Cricetulus griseus: one gene and its partner. The protein of the gene in region 2 purifies or fractionates together with the protein of the main gene of each other region. This does not show direct contact. Links are inferred from orthologs where the notes say so. Each region holds a gene or a part of one and is shown on either strand. Other genes may lie near its edges.

What was found. Proteins that work in one complex are often made in the same cells at the same time.
Region 1: the proteins of Nod1 (region 2) and Ripk2 purify together in Homo sapiens (affinity purification with western blotting; 4 studies listed by BioGRID and IntAct, with this or other methods). This does not show direct contact. The link is inferred for Cricetulus griseus from reciprocal best matches to the Homo sapiens genes NOD1 and RIPK2.

The regions. Positions count from the first base shown.
Region 1 is NC_048595.1:130,003,490-130,007,141, forward strand, and holds part of Ripk2 (receptor-interacting serine/threonine-protein kinase 2), read right to left. Parts: intron 3,305-3,652; coding exon 3,147-3,304; intron 1-3,146.
Region 2 is NC_048601.1:86,340,848-86,344,599, reverse strand, and holds the start of Nod1 (nucleotide-binding oligomerization domain-containing protein 1), read right to left. Parts: upstream 2,453-3,752; 5' UTR 2,286-2,452; intron 1-2,285. UniProt on the Homo sapiens protein: Pattern recognition receptor (PRR) that detects bacterial peptidoglycan fragments and other danger signals and thus participates in both innate and adaptive immune responses.

The DNA.
Region 1 (3,652 bases), on a different chromosome or scaffold from region 2:
TTCAAATCCCTGATACTAATATTAAGGGGAAAAAATAAAGAACAAACAATAATTCAAGCCGCCAGAAAAACAATCAATGAAACTACAGAAATTAATAAGTACCCGTGAATTGTAACCTTAAATGAAAATGGCCATAATTCAACAATAAGGAGGCAGAGTTGACTGGATCAAGAAACAAGATCCTACTTTATGTTGTCTCTAAGAATCGTACATTATTGGTAAAGATAAAAGAATCTATTAAAAATCATCTGAGTAGTTATTCTGATGAAAGAGCCAACTTCTACACAAAGTTAGTCAGAAGAGAGAAAGGATAAATTCACCAAGAACTAACAGCTGTAAATGAATATGCAGCAAACTCTGGCACTCCCAAATTCATAAAACAGACTCATGGTTTGATTTGTGAAACAATAATAGTAGGTGATTTCAATCAGCCAATAGATATACCAACTAAGCTAAAAATCAATAAAGAAATCTCAGAGTTAAAGTACATCATAGATCATCGGATTGAGCCAGTATTTACTGAATATTCCATCCAATTGAAACAGAATACATGTTCTTTTCAGCAGCCCCCAAACCATCTCTAAAACAGACCACATTCTAGGCTACAAATCAAGTCTAAGCAAATACAAAGGAATCAATATCACCTCTTTTACTTGTTCAGCTCCTAGTGCAATGAAACAATAAATCAAAACACGGAAAGAAAATCTACAGAAACTATACAGATGCATGGAGACTGAAGAACGAACTCTTGAATTACCACTGAGTCATTCACGAAGTTAGAGAGGAAATTTAAAAGTTCCTAGAATCAAATGAAAACGAAAGCACAGCTTCAAGGTAAGAGGAACATTTGTACCTGTGAGTGCTTTATAAGTCAGAAAGATCTCAAGTGATAGCCCAACAAAGTACCTCAAGGTACTAAATAAAATGAACAACCTAGCTGGATGGTGGTAGTGCGTGCCTTTTGCACTTTGGAGGCAGGGGCAGGTGGATCTCTGAGTTCGAGGCCAGTCTGGGGTACAGAGTAAACTTCTAGGACTACACAGAGAAATCTTGTCTAGAAAAACCAAAAATAAATAAAACAAAACAAAACACAAGAACAATTCAAACTCGAAAGCACTGGATGGCAAGTAATAATAAAGATCAAGGCAGAACTTAATGAGATGGAGACAAAAACAAGAATATATGTTTGGTTGTGAGTCTACCCTTTAAGAGCTGAGCCATCCTTCCAGCCCGAGAACTATACATAGAGTCAATCAAAGAGTTGGCTCTTTGAAAACATAAATAAGATGGACAAACTTTTAGTTGAATAGCTAAAAGAAGAAGAGCCAAATTAATAAAATCAGAGATGAAAAGGGAAGTCTACATTTTTGTTTCCAATAAAATACAAAGATTTATTAGGAAGGACTTAGAAAACTCATTTAAAAAACAAAAAACAAAACTGGAAGATCCAGAAGACATGGTAAATTCTTAGATATATATGACCACCAAAATTATATCAACACACACACACACACACACACACACACACACACACACACACACACACACACACACATGATATCACAATGATGTCTCTTAACAAGGAAAATCTCAGAACCAGGTAGATTCACCATCAAATTCTATCAAGATTTTTGCTTCTTTTGCTTTTGGGAGAGACAGACTCTCCCTATGTAGCACTAGCTGTTCTGAAACTCACTCTGTTAGCGAGCTGGTTTGAACTCAGAAAGAGCTACCTGCCTTTACCTCCTGGATACTGGGATTAAAGGCACGCACCAATGGTTTTCTACACCAGTCTTCTTCCAACTGTTTTATAAGATGGAAAGGAAGGCAACACTACCAAACTCATTCCATGAAGCCAACATTGCACTGAAACCAACACTAGATAGGAAAACCATAGAAAAAGAAAACTACTGTGCAGTTTCCTCCATGAACATAAATGCATAAACTCTAAATAAAACTCTTGCAAATCAAATTCAAAAACACATCAAGCAGATCATATACCTTGACCAAGCTGGTTTCATCTCAGGTATGCAAGGTTGGTTCAACACTTGCAAATCAATCAGTGTAGTTCAGTGTGTAAACAGACACAATGAAAGAAACCACAAGATCTCTCAATCCAGGAAAAAACAAAACAAACAAAAAAACCAAACGGTCTGTCTTTATAGACTCAAACCATCTGGACTATGTAGTCTTCATGTAGCAGAAACAAATCCGTTCTGTTCCTTCTCACTGGGCACCTCACTTAGATGAACTAAGGATATACGGAAACAATGGAAGAAGAAACCTTCTTTGTACAATGACATGAATGTGACAGATACTTGTCCTAGATGCTCACTGACATGAACTGGCTGCCACAGATTTAATAAGGAGTAAAAAAATTCTTTTTTTGACAAAAGGGTTATATAAGCTGATTATGCAATTTTCTAGTCAAGACATATCATTTACTACTAAAACATCTTCATTTTTATGTTAATTTATTAAAGATAGCAAAAGTTGTTTGAAAGCGCTATAGCATGGATTTAAAATAATTTACATTCCTTGGCAGGTTAAAGAGACAGATGTGAATTACACATGAGGTAAAAGCTCCCACGCTATAATTCTGTGCATAATAAATTATCATCCTCCTTTACTCTGGCCAAAGAAGCAATATTAAAAACATTATGCTTAATTACTATACTGTGAGGTTATAATTAGCTGTAAATGAAACATAAAACCACAATTCTATTAAACACATTGGTTCACTGTATAAAGGATCCATCCATATATAAACATTAGGGATGATTTAAATAAAAACATCCCTAATAGGTTTAACAGTTTGTTTAACTCTCTTTAAAAGTGAGTAATGTATAAGTAATAGTGACTAAATGTTATAGACTCCTGTTTGCCCATGCTTTCCCAAGTAACTTACGCTGAAAACCTTTGAGCACTGCTACATATTCATAGGGAAAAATATATAACTTCATATCTTTAAACAACGTTGAAATCACTTAAAGCAAAAATGTCTAATTTGAAAAATATCAGCCATTGTGGTCTCTAATTTATTTTCATTATAAGTAATTAGAAGAAAATTTCATTATAAAATGTCGTTGGAAAATTTTGGCTGATTAATCTTATATTTCTGATAAAACAAAAGCAATGCTCAGTACCTGTATATATCATGCTTCACACTGGCTCTGGATTTCTGTCCAGGTTCATAGTTCTCGGGTGGCATATAGATGATCGTTCCTCCTTCGGGGGCAGATTTGCTGTTTCGTGATTGAGAGAGTGACATCATGCGCCATTTTGATAAACCAAAATCTGCAATCTATAAGATGAAAGACTTGAATTAAAATTATCCTTTTTTCTTTAAAATGTCCAAAAGTTAACTGCCTTTGTTTTCATATATTGCGTTTATAATGGCTATCAGACCCAAGAAAAGTAATATACTACTAATATTCCACAGCCTCTTAACAAATTAAATACTACAGTGCTATCCCCAGTAACTCTAGATGTAATATACATTTAATCAAATTTGTAGCAGAATATTACACATTTTTAAGGGAAACTAATTGTTTCTAGAATCTGAGTAATGTTTTTTAGGGTGTACTTTCCAGTCTCCCTGTCATCGACTATTGCTCCTCGTATGCCATACACTAGACTGAACATTGCTTAG
Region 2 (3,752 bases):
TGATGATGATGGACCAAGACCTAGTGCGAATCACGTACGTGCTCACTGGGCCATTTCCTGGGCTTTGTCTTCAACCATTTACTACTCCTTTAAAATATATTTTCCTATAATTCTGAGGAAAATAACTTGTTTGCAAAAACAAATTCTAAAGTGAGTTTATGGCTTAGCCTGTTGGTTTTAAGGAAGCAGGGTACTTCATTGCCTCGTTGGCTATAAAGACGTGCATCTCTTTCTAGTTACTCTCTTCCATCAGAGGCCTGGATAGCGCTCCATCAGATAACAGCCTGTTCTCCATGGGTTGGCAGGAGACTAACTGGGGAGGGTGGAGCCTCCTGCTGTGACTGACTCCATATAGGACTCTGCCCACAGTTTGGTGCCTGCCAATTTCAGATGAAATTCAAGTCTAAGTAAGCATTGAAGCCAGGAAGTCTTGTGTTGGCCAGTGTCCCAGCACTTCCTGAAATCCATCAGCTAATTGAAAAGACAGCAACTACTCCCTCTCACTACAGAGTCAAGTTTAGGTGAAACACCTGCCCTCCATGAGCCTCCACAGACATGCTCACAACCTGTAGACATCTCGAAAAGCAGGCTGCTGCAGGGCATGCAAGTACATAGGAGCTCTCCTAACTCCATCTTGCCCAAAATCCTCCCAAAGAAAAATGTAGAAGAAACTGTCACGTACAGTGACTGACACTTGTCCGCCATGCCTTCACAGTTTATGTTTTGAATGTCTTATCCAAACAGTGCTGCTGCTTGCTGTTAACCCTGGCAGTGACAGTCCCAACAGAGTGGGCAGCTGGGTGGCCATTTTAAATGGGAGGCAGGCATCAGTAAGGACAGGTTGTGGAATTCTCTTATTCAGATCCCTGGCTGTCCTTGGTCTTTGATGAAAGACTCCAGACCAACAGTCAAGAGCAAAACAAGAACACCGAGGCTGTTGCCAGCAAGAGAGCCATGTGTGCTGCATCAGTTTTAAGTCCTGCTGACAGCCCAGCTTTCTTGAAAGTGACTGTTTAAAAAATATATATATATATGGTGTAGAAACACAGGAGAGTGAGGCTTTAAGGAACACAGTTTCTGAACAAATACTCCATCATAGTGGCTACACTAAAAAGAGATAATTGTGGCACATAAATTACCACTACTCTATCGTCCAGTAATGGAGCCCCTGCTATGGACCATATAATGTACCTTATCCAGCTGTTAGCTTCACTCTGTCCAGACTTTATCAGTAAGAAAAGAGAGGCTTGGAGGGGCCATTTTCAACTTGCTGATCACATCATTCAAGTGGGAAGAATCAAAGGTAGGAGTCAGGTTTACTGGGTCTCTATTCTACAAAAACAAAACCTACTCTTTCAGCCTTCGAAAGGGCCCAATTCCACCTCTAGGCCGAGGGTTTTAAATCTGCCTCTCCCCTGGCCAGCATGTATGAGGATGACTGTCCATTTTTCCAGTGGCTCCTGGATCACAACAGATGTGAACAGGGGGACTCCCCTCTCCAACAGACTTTCTGGATATTAACCCTGAACACTTCGGGTATTCTTTTTTTGTTGTTTTGTTTTGTTTTTCGAGACAGGGTTTCTCTGTGGGTTTGGAGGCTGTCCTGGAACTAGCTCTTGTAGACCAGGCTGGTCTCAAACTCACAGAGATCCACCTGCCTCTGCCTCCCAAGTGCTGGGCACTCCGGGTCTTCTTAATGTCTAAAGTAGGAAGGTTGCTTTCAAGCACTCAGACTCTGTCCTGCAGGCATACCTTTGGCTTTACCCTTAAAAGCCACCCTGCCAAGCAAGCATTGTCCTGCTTCCTTCTTTTGTGTTTCATGAAACAAGGAAAAGTCCTCCCTCGACCTCAGGACCTTAGGAGGTCCCTGGAAGCCTTGGCCTGTCTGTAGGCTGCACTCCGGGAAGTCCCAGTCAGCAGGCACTTTCTTTTGGCAACTACTCTTTGGTCTCTGGCTCCTAACACTCCATGCACATTGGAATCACCCCTGCAACTCTGAAGCAATAGCCTAGAAATTCCCACAGAATCGGTCTGTGGAATGGTCTGGTCATCTGGATCTGGTCCACATTTGACGATACTAAGTTGCAGGCTGGCGGGCTGAGCGTGCGGGCCTTAGATCACAGTAGGATCTTCGATTCCACTGGCTGTGAAGTGCTTGCCTCCGAACAGGCTGCATCTGAAACTCGGGGGCTTCTCCGCCCGGTTTCAGCCAGAGCTTTCGGCAGCAGCTTTTCATTTCCTCAGCTGGTCCGGAGAGCCTGCCCGCACCAACCCCCGTGACTTACCAAGTTGACAGACAGGACTTTGGCTCCGGCGGCCCGGGAGCGCGGTGGCCAGCGGTGTGGGGATCCAGGGACTAGGGTCGCGGATCCGGTGGGACAGCAGGAGCTGGAGGGCAGGGTGGACCCTGCGGCTCGCGCGGTCCGGGAACGGGAACTGGCGGGAACCACGGCTCCTCCGCCTTGCGGAGCCCGGGCTCGGGTGGGCTCCCGGGAGAGGATGGGGCGGAGCGGGCGGACGAGGCGGGGACGGGCTCCCTTTCACTCTTCCCCGGCCAGAGCCGCCGCCGCCGCCGCCGCCACTGGGCTGCACGAGCCGCCCCTGCGGAGCGGTAGTGGGCAGGTCTCCGAGTTCGCCCTGGGGTGGCACACTGGGAACTCGTCGTGCCAGCTCTGCCACGGCCGCGGAGAGCCAAGGCCCGCCCCCCACCCCACGAAAGTGCCACCCAAAGCCTGTAACCTCAACCAATGCCCGGACCCGGGAGGGAAGGCTTGTTAAACGGAGTCTGCGCCTCTCAAGAAGCTGTCCACTAAGCAAACTTCAGTTTGATCTACTTTCAGGGACCGAGGCTTTCTTCCCGTCTGTGGTTAAGTCTTCTTCTCTCGATCGTGAACGTTTCAGAGCCTTTTCATTTACTGTAACCACGTGAAGGAATTAACTTGCTAATACATTTTCGGAATAAATGTTTTTAAACGTTATTGACAATTAATCAAAAGTGCCTTCAGGTGTGTGGCCACATACTAGTCATGGATAAGAAAACTCGCATGAAGGCTGCCCTCCAAGAAAAGCAAAACTGAAACTGCAAGCTCGGTGGGCCACAGTGTGTAAGGGCCAAACTCACCCCTGCCCATTGTCAGTATTTAGTCTATCGTTTCCGTTTTTTCTTTTTTTGAGACAGCTGTTCCTTACTTGTTATTTTGGACTTTTTATTTTGGGATAATTGTATATTAATAAAGAATTGGAAGAACTAATGCACAGACCCATGCACCCTTAACCCAATTTCCTCCAACCCTGTGGGGTTATGGTACCAAACGCTACGGTAAGCAGAAAATAGATGGTAATACAGTCAAGATACAGAACAGGTCTGCCTGAAGCATCCCTTTATGTCATTCCACCTCTGTTCAGCATCTGGCAACTGCAAACCAGTTCCCATTTCTGCAATTTTTCAAGACTTAAACACATGGGATCGTGCATCAGGTTACCCTCTGAGATAGCATTTTAAATTTTGTATTGCATTTCTCTCTGTGTGTTTAAGTGTGTGAATACAGGCATGCCATGGTGCACATGGGAAGGTCACAGAACAACTTGCAGGAGTTGGTATTCTCTCTCCACTGTGTGGGTTTGGGGAGCGGATTGAACGCAAACTTGGTAGCAGGCACCTTTACCCCACTGAGCCATCTCACCAGCTCTGGATAGCAGTTGGCTGCTGTTTTGTTTCCATTTAGTAAAATCCTGAAAGGATTCGTGTAGAC